Linked DNA regions of Rhinolophus ferrumequinum. The protein of the gene in region 1 purifies or fractionates together with the protein of each later gene. This does not show direct contact. Links are inferred from orthologs where the notes say so. Each region holds a gene or a part of one and is shown on either strand. Other genes may lie near its edges.

What was found.
Region 2: the proteins of DHX15 (region 1) and GCFC2 purify together in Homo sapiens (co-immunoprecipitation; 3 studies listed by BioGRID and IntAct, with this or other methods). This does not show direct contact. The link is inferred for Rhinolophus ferrumequinum from reciprocal best matches to the Homo sapiens genes DHX15 and GCFC2.

Annotation. Positions count from the first base shown.
Region 1 is NC_046288.1:71,715,031-71,724,906, reverse strand, and holds the start of DHX15 (ATP-dependent RNA helicase DHX15), read right to left. Parts: upstream 3,606-9,876; 5' UTR 3,434-3,605; coding exon 3,366-3,433; intron 1-3,365.
Region 2 is NC_046296.1:16,597,664-16,606,705, forward strand, and holds the start of GCFC2 (intron Large complex component GCFC2), read left to right. Parts: upstream 1-4,711; 5' UTR 4,712-4,877; coding exon 4,878-5,160; intron 5,161-8,094; coding exon 8,095-8,220; intron 8,221-9,042.

The DNA.
Region 1 (9,876 bases):
TGAAGACTGGGACACTACCAAAGCATCACTGAACAGGAAATTGGTTGTTACAATAGCCCTTTATTAGTGGAATACTATACAGCCAATGAAAAGGATGTGTTATCTATTCTACAGTTTATTACATATTTAAGTGACTAAAAATCAAAGCAGAAAACACACTGAAAAATCCCACTGATATTACATACCGTATTTCCCCGAATGTTAAGACTAGCCAGACAATCAGCTCTAAAGTGTCTTTTGGAGCAAAAATTAGTATAAGACCCGGTCTTATATAAGTAAATTAGTAAATTGCAGCTTGTACTTTACCTGGTCTTTACTATTATAAGACTATAAGTCTTATACTATTTTAAGTCTTTATAAGTCTTTACTATTTTACTATAAGTCTTATAGTAAAATAAGACCGGGTCTCATATTAATTTTTGCTCGAAAAGACACATTAGAGCTGATTGTCCAGCTAGGTCTTATTTTCGGGGAAACACGGTATTATAGTTCATTATGTATGAATAAATATTCAAAAACCTTTAAAAAAGTTCATCAAAGGATTAAAGATAGGGATGAAAATTTCATGGAAATTTTTTGCCTTTTGGTTATATCTTCATGTATATGGACATTCTTGTGTTCCCCAGGGCAAGTTACTTAACCTCACCTATATCACAGGAATTGTAGTGAAAATGTGCTTATACATATAAAGCACCTAAATAGTTTCGGGAACATAGTTACATACAGTGGTACCTAGGTTTTTGAGCATTTCAGAACTCGGTCGTCCGGAACGGATTACGTTTGAAAACGGAGGTACCACTATATTTTACATGTTATTGTATCAGTGTATTTGTTTTACATTTCCACAATTAACAGGAAAAGTACTTATCAGGAATTAATCAGAAACTAAGACCAAAGTGAAAAATGTTCTATTTTCAAAAAGTTTTTTCCACACTTCAATAAGTAGTTGTCTTCTGCATAATTTAATATAGAAATTTTTGTGGGATGATGGAAAAGGAATACCATCAGTTTGCAACAGAAACCTTCAACTTCTCCACCTGACCCCAAAACTAAAATATACCAGGAGTAAATAAAACTATACATAGTGTGGGAACTTGAAACTGAGTGAAATCTCCCACTAAATTATTTTCCGTTCTCAGTATTGGGGAAATGGTACAGCCATGTTTGGCAATGAAGTTCACAAGACAAGCCTACCCTCTCAAATAAAGCCACTTGCTAACTGTCAAGGCTTAAAAAAACTGCAAAACAGCATGTCTGTGAAAAGAGACTTTCAAGTTATAAAATATGGGGGGGAGCAGGGGGAACCCAAGCACTAAAACGTTGTAAGCTCAGTTAAAGAAAATTAGTTCTGAGAAATGACATTCAGATGACACAGAAATGAGTATATAAATGTCCCCCCAGAATTATCTCAGAACTTGGGCTTTATTACAGGTAGATGTCAGACATAGAAAGTCCACATTTTTTACTAAGGGTATCAGTTTTGCAAGAGAAAGGGAACCCATGGGACCACTAATCCCAAGAAAAGTATTTAAATGTTGCACACCCACAAATATGAATAAATGAATTCATTCCCTCCTAGTGTACTTTGTTTCAATCTGAACTCTTATGAGAGAAGTCAGATGACGTCTTGCATTTTACCCAGATGACAAGCAATTTATCTTTGCTTCACAGGAACCAAGAGTCCCCTACTTTAGTGACCCATAAATGTCATTAAATTAGGTTGTCATGACTCTTAAATACAGTCATAGTCTGTAGTGTAATAGAAAAAGCAAGAAGCTAAGAGTGCAAATGAAAAGATCAAGGTTCTAAATCCAGCTGTGAACTGGGTTAAGGTTGCACAAGCCACCTTAACAACTCTGGGTCTTCCTTTCTCATCCCTTCAGTGGAGCTGATTATACTCTCTTTTAAAGTCACTTGCAACTCTAAACAGTCTGAGGCAAGGAGTTCTAAATGTGCTAAAGTTTTGCTGAGGGTGTGGGGAGGGAGGGAAGAGGAGACAACCTAAAAAGAGAGAAAACTAAAGTCTAACATTGTAAACTAAAAATTTTACAAGATTAAAACATTACCTATTTCTGCTTTCCATATTCACTATATGGGAAGGGATCAAAAAGTACACCCTATCCTGGTTTATACACTCACTAGACAGATACCTGGAAACCAATGCAAATGCACTTTGGGTGAAAAAAAAATTCACAAAAGTTATAAAGATGATTTGGCACCGTGATTCTGAACACGTGCACACAATAAAACGGTAAAAATACCTGAATTATCCGAGTAAAACACTGTACTTCAGGAATGAAAACACACTGGACAAGAAATGATTTTGATGCAATTGCTGAAGTCTATTCATCTGTATCTTTAATGAACGTTAAGGGAAAGGAATCTGAGACACCACCACTCCATTTCAACTCTCAACCTCCCCACGTGCGATATTTTGCCATCAATGCTAAAAATTTTTTTTTGAAAAGGGTCTTCTTGTTGCAAAAACTAGTTATGCAGGAAGGCGGGAGGACAGAAATCAAGAATTTATTGGAAAAGAAATAATGCCTTTTAATTCCTATCCCAGGAATGCCCAATACCCAGTTTTAGCCAAAGCAGGAAATAAAGGAGATGGCGGGAGCATAAGCAGAGAGCGGAAGTTTGCCTAGTATCTACTTTGAAGTCTTTGAATGGACCGAGGCACGCGCTCTCCCGCGAAAGTATAAACTCAGTGGCTCCATACGACCAGCCTTCCTGCCCATCAGGTATATTCCACGTTTTCCTTTCTCCCGGCAGGCCTTCTATTCTCCCTTCCCCCGGCAACTCCTCGTCTGCACGCTTCATTCAACTCCCGCTACCCCCATCCCAGTCAAAAAGAAGAATCCACGCGTTTCTCTCACTTTCCGCCCTCCTCCTTTCCCCTAGGTGGGCACCCACCCGCCCCCAAGGCCCTCTCCGCGGCCCCTCAGCCTGGTAAGTACCTGGTGCCCTTGGAAGCGAATACTCCCGCCGCGCCCTCCCCCATCCCCTCCCCCGGTTCCAGGCCTTACCCGGGAACCCAGGCCACGAGGTCCGCGGTTTCCTCCCGCCCGCTCCCCTCCAAGTGACTCGTTTGGCAGGGTCCGGGGAGGCGCCCTCGTGGCCACGACAGGCCTCTCCACCCTTCCGACTGGGCCCGGCGGCGGCCGCGCAACACCTCTCCCCGCGCCCTTGCCCAGCCGAACCCCGGGAGTGGCGCCGCTCGCTCAACCCGCCAATGAACCCAGCCTAAAGAGAAACAAAAGGCCGGGCTCCAGGCCCCGCTTGGCCAGGCCGGCCTTGGTCCGCTTCCCGCCGGGACCCCAACAAAGCCCGAGCCTCTGCCTCGCGCCCCGGGCCTGGCTTACCCATCGGTCCCCGCACGCTTCTTGCCGGAGTAATCCTCCCCCAGATCCAACCGGTGCCGCTTGGACATCTTCGGACTCTTCGAGCGGGCGGTTATGAAGGAAGAAAAAAAGAAAAACTGGCGGCCTAATCAGCGCAGTCGACAACAGCTACTTAACTCTGGAGGACCCCCACCCCTCCCGCACCACAGCCTACACGGCGCGGCCGGAACCAGGAGCTAAAATGGCGGCGGCGACGAGGGCTGGGCCGGCGTGCGCGCTCCCGCAGCGTGCTGTGCGTGCGTGGTGAGCGCGCACGCATCGGAGGCGGGAACTCCAGATCCGCCCAATTTCCTTCCCGCCGGCCTCCGCTCTCTTCCTGGTACCAGCTTTAGGCCGTTCGAGCGGCTGCTAAGTCGGCTGTCCCCGCGTAGCCTTCACGCCCCTGTCTGATGTGAAGAAATTGAGAGAGGTGAAAGATCAGTTCTAGGTAGGAAATCCTGTCCATTTGTATTGCCCTGGCATTAGGGGAGTCTGAGACCCAGGGAGTTTGAGAAACCCAGATCATATGGCTGATACCGGGCAGAGCCAGGATTGGAACCTATGGTAACTATTTTGTAACTCCAGTTCTAGAACTTGAAGCCACTAACCACTCAGTGTCAGTGAAGAAACTGAAGTGAGAAAAATGTCAAAACTTGCCATAATCCATTTTGCCCTTTTCTCTCTCTCTTTTTTTTTAACCTAGTATGGACTGTATGTTCTCAACCTATTGATGTTTTTTTTTTAATGTGGAATAGAGAAAATTGCTGACAGTAAGGACATAATTAGCTTTTTGTTTTCCTGTGTGCCTGTTATGAACTTGTGGTAACCCTACCTCTACCCTTATTCTTACAGTCACCCTGGCAAGGTAGGTGTCATTTTATAGATGTGGACCCTAAGGCAGAGGGAAGTTAAGAAGTCACACAGCCATTAGTGCTGTCCCTAAAGTCATAGACAATCGTTAAGGTAAGATGACTCTTAGCACTTTAATGGATCTCTCCCCCAGACTATCTGCTTACTCAGTTGCATTCATTCCCAGAAGAAATACATAAAAGAAAGATCTGTGGACCAACCGAAGCTGGGTGATCTATGTAGTTCATGAAATGGATGTTTGGATGCCCTGGAAGACCATAACCAGGTTCTTATCAAATCCTCAGAACTGCAACCGCTAAGGTTAAATACAACCTTAATACTGCAACTGATAAAGAGGGTTTTTATTTTTGTACCTAATCCACATTACAAAATCAGTACAAAGAAAGGCGAATATCTTCATTTATAAAATTTTCTGTACAACTTTTACCCTAAATGTATGTTACCGTGTTTCCCCGAAAAAAAGACCTAACCGGAAAATAAGCCCTAGCATGATTTTTCAGGATGACATCCCCTGAACATAAGCCCTAATGCGTCTTTTGGAGCAAAAATTAATATAAGACCCGGTCTTATTTTAAGGGAAACACGGTAGCAGTATATTGACTTGTCAGGGGTCATGTTGCATAATCACTGAATTGTAAACCTGGAAAAGAGTTTCCAGCTGATTTTCCCTTCTTAGCTCATATTACAAATGAGCCCCTAGGTCATGCCCACGTTCACACAGGCAATTGGTGTCAAAGTCAGAATTAAAATCCAGATTTCACTCTTCACTACTCCAGTCCCAGATATCTAGGTTCCCAGTTTGAGGGCAACTATAAAGTACTCCAAAATTTTGGAGAAAAAAATGAGGGAAAAGGTTAGAATTCCACCTGAAGAAGTGCTCTACCCTTAGAGGCATCAGCCTCTCATAAATGTGCAAGGAGACTTGGTAAAGGAGGAACCGAAGTCAAGATGAAGAGACTTTCTCCTTGGGCTTAGCGTATATCCCTAGAAAACTGTAACCTAACCAATTGTGTTGTAACTGAAGTGGCCATATTTACCAAAGGATAGAGACCCTTCTGGAATCTGTAAGGGGAACAACGGGCCAGAATCTGCCAGGATGTTCACTCTCTCTGAGGAAGGGCAAAGTTCTGGGTCTAAATGATCCATTCTAGATTTTCAGAGCAAATGGTCCCTGGAATAAAGAAGAGCCATCTACCAGCCCCCGTACAGCCTCAGAGCCCAGTTTTTTCCCCTAAGCCTACTTTCATCTTTTTCCTTTCACTGGTGTTGATCCTAAATACTCCTTAATAAACTTCCTGTGCACTAGTCCTTGCTTCGAAGTCTACTTTTCATGGAACCCAACCAAAAAGATTTGGTGCTAGGAATGGCCCAAGAAAGCAGAGTCTATGATTGGATTTTGGACCTGGCCACCCATTGGTGGCCGGCAATGACTTAGTGATGGCAGGTAGAACATAGTTACCACTATGTAGAACATAGTTACCACATAGTTGCCAATTGCAGGGCAATTGTTAAAATTTCACCCCCCGTGGTGTACTGGGAAAGACCATGCACTGTTTTCAAAGTATGGAGGAAATAATAACTATAAGAACATCGGAATTTGATTGACTGTTGCTAAGTGGACTTGATACTTTGGAGAGAGATAATGAAAGGCTGAGAGTAATTAATCTGCAATTCAAAATTAAGTGGGAAAGCTAGAAGACCTTCTGGGAGCAAATAAACAGATTCTCATCTCCTGCAGTGGAAAGACAAAGAAAAATGATGACCAATCCCAGGACTTAAATATAACAGTTTCATAAGGCCAAGTGGAAACTTACAATGAAGATTAAATTCTCCACTTAGACAGGCATGATACGTCAAGGTTAGGGCCCTCATTGAGAAAGGGTGCACCTCTGACACCTGGGAGTGGGATATTTAGGTTGATAGACCTGAAAAATCTTGAATTCCTAAATTCCCTTCAACCTGGTGAGCTTGTCAAAATGCCCTGCTCTTCCCTATTAAAAGCTAATTCTCCTTCCTTGTGAGATGATCAGAAGCCTACTCTCTGAGACATAATATGCACCTCCCTCAAGATATACCCCTACTTACCCTGCTGACCAGTAGGCAAAAATTAGGGTTAAGTCACAACATAGAATATTCCAGGGACATCCTAGGGCTGATAGTATTGGAAAATGACTCCAAAGAAGCTGTAGGATCTAACCATCAGGTACCAGCAGGAGCCAAGAAAGTATGCATGGGATGGAATTCTGAAGGTTCTGGATAAAGAAGGGAGGAGGGAGGTGGAACATAAAGTTAAATAAGGGAAATTTTATCAATCTGGAAGTACTTTTCCAGGATACAGGATTTAACATACACAAGAACTCCAGGCAATGGTGTAAACACACTTAGGATGTCATCTAGAAGCGTGGAAAAAGCAATGCCACAGTCACCAAGAAAGGCAGAAGTGCCAGAACTGCTGTGCATCACAGTGTAAAAGGGGGTTAAATAGCTGAAAGAAGTGAATGTGTTAGAGTGAAAATACTTACACAAAGGTGGAAAACCCAGCAGAGGAATATATTCCACAGGAAAGTTCAGAAGACATACCACTTACTGAATCCATAAAGAATTTTCTGGTGAGGGAGGCATCAACATCATTCAGAAATTCAGTGGTGGTTCTCTCTATAGTTCAGAGATGAAGGTAGAAGATGCCATTTCAGACCTGAGCTCCCTGAGAGTAGTAAAGATGAAAGGGGCCTGTAACAGAAGTAACACGGTGGCATTTCAACATCAGAAGCCAGGTGGATGCTACAAGGTAGTAGAGATGGTAAATAGGACAAGGTATCTAGAGCAAAATAGATGGGCAATCATCAAAGGATGTCCTCAATCTGAACAACCAAAATAAATCAAGAATGGATGATCAAAAGATTGAGGGCAGTTGCCCCAGTGAAAACTTGCCCAGTTTCTAGACTTGCGCCATGTCAAAAACCAAACTCTGCACACTGAGTACAACAAAGCAGAAAGATGAGTTCATTGCAAGGGTTTTGACCTATAAGCTGGGAAACCCAAGGCTACTGGAGCAATGAGTTCTGAGTTGCTCACAGACTAGTAAAAGGTTTTTATGGCGGCAAATGCAGAAGTTATTTGGTTTTTTAGTTGATTGGTTACCCAGTGGTCTCCTGCCTTATTTGGATCAGGTTAGCTGAGTCAGAGGAACATGAAAGTCCAAAGATGCATGAACAGACTTGACAGTGGAAATTGGCTGAAGTCCTCTGCTTATTTCTGAAAAGAACTGTAAATTCCTGCAACTTAGGTAAGGTTAAGTTTTGTTTTTCTTTAATGAACCCACATTAGCCAACTGCATTTTGTCCCCAACATAAGTGACTTAATTTTAGTTTTGGTTCTACGACCAGTTTTGGGACCTGGAGTACATTGATTAAGGTAACTGCCATGTCCCTAGGAGCAAGGACTACAACACGTAACATCACTGTGTGCACAGTAATAATTCTCCAAGTCCTTTCTCCAAGTGATCTATAGCCATTCTTTTAGGTAACCATACACTGGGGGAAAGAGAATATTCAAACATTTCAAGGACAATTGGATACGGAATCTGAACTGACATTGATACTGATAGACTCAAAGTGTCGTTATGGGCTCCCTGTTAGAGTGGGGGCCAATGGGAGTGTCTAACGAAGATCTGGTTCAGGTCCAGCTCATAGTAGTTTCCCTGGGTTCTCAAACCCACCCACTTGTCATGTCCCCAATCTATAAATGTACACTTAGAATAGACACTCTTAGTAGTTGGCACAACCCTCATGTTGAATTCTTGGCCTGCAAGAGGTAAGAACTATCATAGTAGGAAATGCCAAGTAGAAGCTTATGAAACTGTCCCCCTCTCCACTCCAGCCAAGATACTAAATAAAAAACCTGGGGAGGAGTTTCTGCTTATACCTCCAAGCATGTCAAGTTTAGAAATTATCACTTCCATTCTTAGAAGAAAAAGCTGGACAAACTGAAAACTAATGGCTTTTCTTGGAGCCCTTAGAAAACTGAGTTTGCAGGGTAGGCTCTCACCCTGAAGTCTGGAGAGACAGGCAAGTTCAAAGAGTGACAGCAAACATTTGCTTACCTGGAGCAAACCCGCTGGATCCATAAGCTGGTTGGAATACTCAAATGGTATCTTGACCAATCTAAAGCTGAGTCTGGACTACCTAGAGAGTGAGAAACTCCTGTGGGCCTCAGTTGTGAGGGGTGCGGGGGCTCCCTCATTCTTACGGATTTTACCTCCAGGATACCACCAAGTTTTCCCAATAAAATGCCAAGAAAGACATGCTTGTGGCTCTGGGAGAGAGAAGGGAATATGCCCAGTTCATTCTCCATAATAGGGGCTGGTTTTCGACGAGAAGAGACTACCAGATCCTGTCCTACCTGGGCATTTCTCCCACTCTAGCCCCTTCTAGCCTTCTTGTCTCACCTAAGGGAGAAAAAAAGCTGAGCTTGTAAAGGTCACAGCTCAGGAACACAGGCCCATTAAAAGACTGAGCTTCAATCATAAAATTGTAGAATACTTTCCCTCCTTACTCCTTACCACTACACCGACAGGCATCCAGTATAATAACAGTGGGTTACAGCTGAAAAAGAGCTGCAAGATGCAGGCTCCAACTGAGGAAGAATTCCTAGGGAAGCCCATCCTCAATAAGGGAGACTAAACAAGGACACCAGAGGAATTTAAAACCTCTTGCACCTACAGCTACAGCGAACACCAAACAGCCCAACTTCTAGCCGGATTAACATAAAACCTCATACTAAAGGCCTACGGTTGACTTTAGTTCCTATTACCGAATATATTCTGCAGGCTTTCAACAAAAAATTACAAGGCATGCCAAAAAAACAAAAACAAAAAACAAAAACAAAAACAAAAAACGAGAAAAAGAGACAAAGCAAGTAGTAGAACCAGACTCAGATATGACACAGATTTCAATCCAAATTCCAATCAATGTGGAATTGGAAATGGACAGAGAATGTGAAATAACTATGATTAATATGCTAAGGGCTCTAATGGAAAACGTAGATAAGGTACAAATGAAGATGGATAATATAAGGAGAGAGATGGAAACTCTAAAAAGGAATCAGAAGCTAATGTTAGAAATTCAAAACATTGTAACAGAAATGAAGAATGCCTTGCAAGAATATTAAAAGAAGTTCTGAAGGGAAAAGAAAATGATATAGGTCAGAAACTCAGATCTACATAAAGGAAGAGCTTTGGAGAAGGAATAAAAAAAGGTAAGATAAAATCTTTTACTTTTTGTATTCTTAATGAATCTAACAGAAAACAACTTGTTTAAAATAATAATAGTAATGGTGTATTGGGTGATTATAGCAATAGATAAGTGAAATGAATGACAACAATGTCTTGAGGGATGGATGGGAGAGAAGAATTGGAACTATTCTGTTATAACTTATCTGTACTATACATATAGTAGTATAGTGTTATTTAAGCTGGATTTAGGTAAGTTAAAATGTATATTGAAAACTCTAAGGCAACCGCTAAAATTTTTAAAGTATAATTGATATGCTAAGAAAGGAGATAAGAAGGAATCATATAAAATGCTCAATTAAAACCAGAGAAAGCAGAAAAAGAAGTGAAAAA
Region 2 (9,042 bases), on another chromosome or scaffold:
TGGAAACAGACAAACAAAAGCTGGGGCAGCAATATTTTTATCAGACAAAAAATAGACTTTAAAACAAAGTCTATAACAAGAGACAAAGAAGGACCTAGTATCCCACTTCTGGGTATTTACCCAAACAAACCTAAAATGTTACTTCAAGGGGACATGTTCATTTATATGTTCATTGCAGCATTAGTTACATAAACCAAGTTATGAAGGCAACCTGGGTGTCCCTAAATGGATGAATGGATAAAAAAGAGGTGGTACATATATACAATGGAATATTATTACTCAGCCATAAAAAAAAAAAGAAGGAAATCTTGGCATCTGTCTACAACAACATGGATGGACCTAGAGGCTACTGTGCTGAGTGTAATAAGTCAGACAGCTAAAGAAAAATGTGTGATTTCACTTATAAGTGGAATCCAAAGAACAAAATAAATAAATGAAACAGAAACAAACTTATAGATACAAAGACCATTTTGATGGTTGCCATATGGGAGGAGGGTTGGGAGTGGGTGAAAAAGAGGAAGGGATTAAGAAGTACAACCTTGTTGTTATGCAGTAGTCATGGAGTTGTAGGGTATAGCTTAAGGAATACAGTCAATAATATTGTAATAACTAGGTATGGTGTCAGATGGGTACTAGACTATCAGGGTGATAGATGGGAGGGGTGTCTGAGGGTAAAAAAGTTGAAGGGAATAAGAAATACAACTTGGTAGTTACAAAATAGTCATGGGGTTTTAAAGTATAGGCAATATAATCAATAATATGGTACTAACTATGTATAGTGCCAAGTGGTACTAGTCAGGGGGATCACTTCCTAAATTACATAAATGTCTAACCACTAAGCTATACACTTGAAACTAATATAAAATAACATTGAATGTCAACTCTAATTGAAAATTTTAAAAAGGGGGGAAGATCAATAATATTGTGATAGCGTGGTATAGTGTCAAATCACCTGGACTTACCATGGTGATCATTTCTTTAGCATAGGGAATATAATCAATAATGTAGTAATAACTCTGTGTAGTGCTAGGTGGGTACCGTTGAATAACTATGATGTACACATGAAATTAGTGTAACGTTGTATGTTAGCTATATTGTAATAAAAAATCATAAAAAAAGACAATAGCCAAGATGTCGGAATGACCTAAATGCCCATTGTTCAATAAATGGATAAAGAAAATGTGTTATTTACATACAATGAAACATTATTCAGCCTTAGAAAAGAAGGAATGCCTGGTACATGCAACAACATGTATGAACTTTGAGGACATTATACTAAGTCACAGACTGACAAATACTGCATGATTCTGCTTATATGAGGTATTAAAATAGACAAATTCATAGAAGCAGAAAGGAGAATGGTGGTTGCCAGGGGCTAGGGGAGGAGTAATGGGGAGTTGATGTATAGCAGGTATAAATATTCTGTTAAACAAAATGAAGAAGTTCTAGAGATCTGTTATACAACATTATAATTAACAATACTGCACTGTACACTTAAAATTTGGTTAAGAGGGTAAATATTATGTTGAGTGTTTTTACTACAATTTTTTAATTTTCAATAAGCCAACCTGTAGGGCTAACTTTGCTAATAGCATGCGAACATTGGGAACAGGACCTCCTGGTCCCAGCACAAGTTGCCCATCATAGTAAGAGCTCAAAAAAACAAAGAATAGATGCTGTAAAAATGAAAGCACAATTAAGTCCATATTTTAGATGAATTTCCATAATATTTTTTTTAATTCCCAAAAGAAAGAATGATTCTTTCTTTATCATGTTTAATTAAGTCATGTTTAATTATAAACATGACTTTCCAAAATTTTGTCCTCTGAGAAAGTTTGACATAGGTTGGCTTAAAAATGAAAATAAGACCATTATTTCTAACAAGAGAGAATGAAAAAATAGCTCTTTAATAACAAGCCAATTTCCAAAAGATTGACACAATCCTTCTGTAAGTAACATATTTCTCACTAGAGGGAGCTCAAAACTCACGGATCAAAGGCAAGAGAAGTTGAATAAAATGTCCATTTCACTTCAGGGGAAAACTGGTCTGTGAGTAAATATGACATCTATTTCCAGAAGTTGGAATTTTTTTCATATGCGTATTTTCTTCAATTATTAACCTCTGCAGTTTTAAATTATATAAGAGGTGAATAATGCAAAGTGTCCTGAAAGTCAATTGATTTAACAAGCTAGTATTAAAATAAGTATGGTGTAGGTCTAATAAGAGATGTGTCATTGTCTTTGTCCTCTTGGGGGAAAATAACTAGCATTCATGAGAAAGAGCAAATAAAATAAGGTAGTGATGATTACAAGTACTCAGAAAGGCTATTTGGGGAAATACAATTCTTGCTGTCTGGCTGCTCTTTTCCTGTCTCCATGCATAATTCTGTGAAGCATTTACCCCCTTTAAAGTTGGGGAAAGGGACTATCTCATAGCAAATCCTAAGCCAGTGTGCTCAGCAGCCTGCTTCTCTCCTGTCATCCACTACATCTCTTCTCTCACTCTCACCTCAGAAATTGAAGAGCCATCACCTTTCCTCATCACAAAGGTACTGCCACCATCGTGACCTCAGCTGATGAGTCCTTTATTCCCAACAGCAGTGTTAACTCAAATCTGCGTGAAGCAAAGTTTTACTAAAGGCTTGAGGGGAAACAGCACTATGTCTTAAAAGTTCCTTTTCCACCTACCCCCTGCAAATGGGAACTTCTCACTGACCAGCACTATTCCTCAGGTTCCAGAAGCACTACCAGCCCCAGGTTGCAAGACTCTAACCTTGAAATTTTTTCCACATTTCTCTTCATCATAGATTAGGGTTCCAAGATGTTCTATACAAGTATGTCCCAAATATTAGATGTGACTTACTTATAGTAAAAAAATTATTCTTTGGGCCGGCCCGGTGGCTCGGGAGGTTGGAGCTCCGTGCTCCTAACTCCGAAGGCTGCCGGTTAGATTCCCACATGGGCCAGTGAGCTCTCCACCACAAGGTAGCCGGTTCAAGTCCTGGAGTCCTGCAAGGGATGGTGGGCTGCGCCCCCTGCAACTAAGACTGAAAGGACAACAACTTGAAGCTGAATGGCACCCTCCACAACTAAGATTGAAAGGAAAACAACTTGACTTGGAAAAAGTCCTGGAAATAAACACTGTTCTCTAATAAAGTCCTGTTCCCCTTCCCCAATAAAATCTTTTAAAAAAAATTATTCCTTGTTTATCTGAAATTCAAATTTTATTAGATACCCTATATTTTTTTCTAAATGTAACAACTCTACCCTGGAGCCTTTACGCTGCTTTCCCTGGGGTCAGAGGAGGAAATCCAGCGTTTCCCTCCCTGTATTAAACAAATGCTGTCTATTTCATCCTCTTCTATCCAGGCCATACCCAGAGAAAACCACTTATCTCACTTCTCTACATTAGAACAAATATTTGGTTTATGTTTTAAATAAGTTTTTCTTTCTGTCTCAGTAGTACATCACCTGTCAGCTAACATATTTGCATCCAACATGTTAAACAGAGGGATTTGTTTTCGGGTTTCAGAATCGCCTCATCCACACATTTAGTTCACTGAATTCATGTTCATTCCATGAATACTCTGAGTTAGGATCTACACTAAGTATGGGCGTATCAAGGTGAGTAAGGGCCCTACCTGTGGAGGGCCCCACCTGTGGAGCCCTACCTGTGGAGGCAGTGTAGTTTAAAATGAGGAAGTAAGCAAGTAGCCCACATCAGCTGAAGGCTTTGAACCTAGCTGAAAACAATGAAGTCACATTTCAGTTGGACACAGTTTGTGAATTGGTGACAGTTGAGGGGAAAGGACAGCCTCCTGGAATGTCAACATCACACTTAAATAAACGTCTCCCTTTCTGAGTCAAGTATCTGGAAATTTATCCCTTAAAATAATCCTTTCTATGAACCTCTGGGAAAGTCTTCTTGAAATTTAAAGCAGTGAACGAAACGTAACACATACAGCAGACCCCAGCAAGAGGAATTAAATGAACTGAATGTTTATTTGCCCCAAATGGATATGTTCAGAGGCACCCAAGCAAGAATGGGTTTTACCAAGGGAACCAACAATTCAGAGTCCACGGTGAAGGCTCTCTCTCTCTCTCTCTCTCTCTCTCTCTCTCTCTCTCTCTCTCTCTCTCTCCCTCCCTCCCTCCCCCCAAACCTCGACAGTGCTTAATGGACATAGTCCAAGTTTGCTTTAGCCGTCCTTTTTATCTGAGTGTCTTTCTAAATAGCACCCCCTTTTTTCCAGATGCAATATTTTTTGAGGACCAAAGCATTTAACCAGGTTCTGTTGAAGCCTGGAAGCTATCATTTGATTTTTTTGTTTGTTTGTTTTCCTTATTTGTGCGCCTATTATCTATGCGTAGATTTTACTGTTTAGCTCTCAGAAGCAACACACACACACACACACACACACACACTCCTTTTTGTTTGTTTGTTTTAATTCTTGGTTGGAGAAAAAACTTTGCTCTCTCCATAAAGGAGAAAACAGGTGATCCGCTTCCAGTCCAGGACGCGGGCATCGCGACTCCCCAGATAGGGTTTGCACAACGAGAGCCTGTGAGTGATGCTGTCCATAGCAGGCAGTACGAGAGGTCTGCGGGAATCGCTGAACGATCTTCTGTACAAGCTGGCCACGCAAATAAAACACTTTGCATCCTTAGACCCGCGCGCAGTGAACCTATCTCGGTGTAGCAGAGCCGAGGAGGCAAAGCACGCATGCGCAGGGTGAAGCGTGAGTCGACGGTGCACTGGACGGGCGCGCGCACGCGTCGGTCCGGAGGAAGGGAGGAGCGCGCGCCTGAGTGGACGTCGTTGACCTGGGTTGGCGTGGGCCGGAAAAGAACCCGCTGAAGGCATCTGGACCTCTGCCATGGCTCACAGGCCGAAAAGGACTTTCCGACAGCGCCGAGCCGACTCTAGTGACAGCGACGGCGCAGAGGAGCCATCTGCTGAACCCGGGGAGCAGGCAGCCCCGGGCCCTGCGGAGGACGGGCCGCCCCCGGGAGGAGGCCGCACAGAGGCAGCGGAACGGGCCCATCGAGTCCGGGTCCCTCGAGGCCGGGGCCCGGGCCGGGGCCGCGGCCGGGTCTGGGCGAGTTCTCGGCGCGCTACGAGAGCGGCTCTTCGCGCGGACGGTGGCTCGGACGTCCCAGGTGACGCGGATCGGCGGGTGGGCGCCCAAAGCGACGAGCTGAGGGGGCGGGAAGAGGCCGGCGGGTTTCTCTAGAGGTTTCTATAACGTGGTGCTGACCGAAGCAAGGCTGATTCGCGGAAATAGCATGACAGCCTGCCTGCGAGCCCGCGCCCGCTGTCCGCATCTCCACATAGGACGCTGGGGCAGTAGTAAGAATGCTGTACGTTTGCGGGCTCGTCTGGGTTTGCGCCATCAGATGGACCACCACCAATTACAGCTTTAGTGCAGTATTTGATTATGTTAAATCGCCACAAAAGAGTTAAAATTTGTAAGACTCTTAGGTAGAAGACAGGTACACGTACCTTTTGGAACTGTCCCCAATTATTTTTCTAGGAAACACTTAGCCGGAATAATACGTTAGAAGAACGTAGGTGACGGGCTTTTGAGACATTTTCTTGTGCCTATTTTCCTTTTCATCTGTTATTTGCGAAAACAGATAAGAAAAATAACAGTACATGTCAGTTAAGTAACAAAAGATTGATGACGCTGTCGACCGTACCAATAATGGCGTTAAATACAGTGTAGTAATTGTTAACTATCTTTGCGTCCTTAAATGTAGGATTCAAGCAGCATAAGTTGTTTGCATTGAATGTGTTCTATAAAAACGCAGTTTTCGGTTAGTCTTAAGGTTAAAATTTTTCTCCCCACTATTTATAGTCCACGATTCTCAGTGATTTCTTAGTTTTGTCTAAATTTCGGATAACTTTTTATATTGTTCTATTTTTTGTAAGTTATCTGATTAAACTTTAATAGGGAGAATTGAGACCAGGAGTTGCCTTTTCTCTTGCCTTCTAAAGTGGTTCTCAAACCTTTTGGTCTTACTACTTCCTTTATACTCCTAAAAATGACTAACGATCCTAATGATCTTTTGTTTCAGTGGATTATATCTATCAATATGTACCATATTTAAAAATTAAGATACATGTTTAATAATTCATTTTTAATTACCTCATTACACATAAGGATAAGGAACATATTTTTGTGAAAAATAACTGTTTTCCAAAAAACAGTAAGAGTGGCATTGCTTTTATTAAAATCCACTGTTCTGCTGTATATTTTGAATGGATCTTTTCCCTATGCGTGGTTGGTAACATCATGCTTTGACTGTTCAAAAAGTATTGGTTCACTGAGTTTTCAGGTCTTGCAAATGTTGGTATACTTTATTATCCAATATCAAAAAAAAGACCCCAAAAACCTCTTACTGATGTCATCAGTCTTTAAGTATTGGAAATTTATCAAGTTCACAGTGGAGAACATAAGTTTTCCGAAATTCCAGTTTTCACTTGAAATCTCTAATTCTTAAAGTGATAGGCACAACTTTGCTCACTTTTGAAAAAAATGTTTGTTAGATATATCCACGTCAAATAACTAGTTTGTCATTCGTTTCAAGTGAAATGGTGTTCCTCCTCAAAGACAGTGGCTAGTTCAACTTGCAGACTACACAGGTGCTTTTCCTTGAGGCGACCATTGCATTTCAGTACGTCCCAGAAGTGCTTTGTGCACGCTTCCATTTTGTTCCACAAATTATTAAAAAGATGCATATTCTAGGGTCAAGAGTTAATCAAATTAACAGTTTTTATTGCTTTAGTGAGGACCATAAGCGAAACTGGCTTTTTTCCCCATCAATGTATGGTTGAAGAAATACGGTGGTTGCTACCACATATTGGTGTCACTGTCTTGATTCATATTAAGAGGCCTGCAGTTTTACTCACCAGTGCTTCTACTTCATTATGTAAATATCAACAGAGTAAACGGGGCAAAAAAAAAAAAAAATGTTAGTATAATGATGAAAAGAATTTTGACTTCACAGACCCTCTGAGAGGTCACAGAGACCTCCAAGGGTTGATGGACCATACTCTGAAAACCTCTTCTCTGGAGTTAATCCATTTTGAGAACAGGTAGGAGTTAACATAAATAGCAGCAACTTGAAAGATGTAAGCTGCAGCTATGTTCCTTTGTCTTTTAAGTTTTGATCTAAAGACTTTTTCGGGCTGTATGTAGGTCTTCCACTTAAGGAAAGTTTTAAGACAAAGAGTATTATTTATGTAATCTTAAATTGTAAGGTTATTCATAAAAATTACAAAATAATTGTGAACTAACAAATCCTTTGTTGTCAATAATAACCATGAATTCCTTAACATTTTGTTCATTCAATTCTCACAACATCCCTATGGGTATTATCTCTTATTGTTATCTTTGTTTAATAGATTAATTGACAGATTAAGTGTCCTTCCCAAAATCACACAATGGAAATAGATACATGATTTAACTTGAGACTATAATGCTCATTACAGTAGTTCTTGCCACCAGCCACTGAAATATGACATAAAATGCATAAAGAAAGTGTAAATTCAGAGTTGGATGAAATTTGGTTGAAAGCCCTACTTCTCCACTTACTTTGTGACACTAGACATGTTATTTAGCCTCTCCAATCCTGATAAGGACACTAATCCTCCTCAGTAATAGTATTTACTTTATAGAATTGTGAATATTAAACTAAATAAACCTTGTAAAACAGGATTTCAATGTGCCTAACATATTAAGTGTGCATTAGTATTTTTTCTTTTTCTACTTATTCACTACAACTATTTTTCTTTTCTTATTTTAAATATTCCTTCACTTTTTCTCTAATGTTCCCTTCCCCCTCCTCAGTGCATCCTTTAAAGGACTTATTGTACTAAATAAGCAGATAGTACAAATGGGGAAACTGTACATTTTTCAGACCATCCTTTGGTTTCAGAAAGAATGAAAGTCGGAAAAAGAGCTATATATCTACTTTAAGCTTGTGGAGTAAAATTAAAACACCATCTTATACATATGCCATATGTTGCTCATAATTATTAATTTCAATATCTTGACTCTTTTTTGTTATATTTAAAAAATGTCCTGTTAGAATCCGGAACAGTTGATCTTTCAACAGATGAAGAGAACGGAACACATCATTCCTCAGAAAGTAAGGATGATCAGAGTTCATCTTCCGATAGCTCTAGCTCTCTAGAAGAAGAATTTTCATCAATAGGTTGGTAATTTTGTGATTTTTATTTAAGAACTCTATTTCTAACACAGTATTTTCTATACCAGTGATCTTAATTATTGATAGCACAACAAATTCTCGTGAAGTATGGGGCAAGTAAGTCATTACTAATGATTGTCAGACTGCCAAAATTGACTGCTCATTTCCATTACATAACATGCCCAAGTTCAGACAGCTGCTAAGAGGTAGAGCTAAGATTCAAACCCACAATCTGGTACAGAACCAATGTACTATATTTGGTGATTCATGCCAATATCTGAAGGATAGTAAGAATTTGTCAGTGAGGAAGTTTCAGGTACGGGATGTAACATGTATAAAACTCTAGGGAAGATAACATAGCATATGTAGAGAACTAAAAATAGATGTTGGACTGAAAATATGAGCTTGGAGTTTAAGAAAGGAACAAAAAGAAAGCAAGCAGAGGGACAAATTGGAGTCAGATAATACAGGGCTTGGGGGAACTACTGAAAATTTTATGCAACTTGATGACATGGCCATTTTTGTGTATTAGAAAAATCAGTCCAGTTCAGGAGTCAGCAAATTACCTCCTGTCCTGTGGGCCAAATCTGGCCCACCACCTGATTAGTAAAGTTTTATTAAAACACAGCTACACTCATTCAATTACGTATTTTCTTCGGATACTATTGTACTACAATGGCAGGGTTGAGGAGTTGATGGAGACTTTATGGCCCACAAAGCCAAAAATATTTATCTGGCCTTTTACTCTAGTTCATGGGTTTATAATTGTGCTGTGAACTCTTTTCAGTTTCTTGAAACCTAAGACCTTTCTGAGAAAATAAAGTAAAA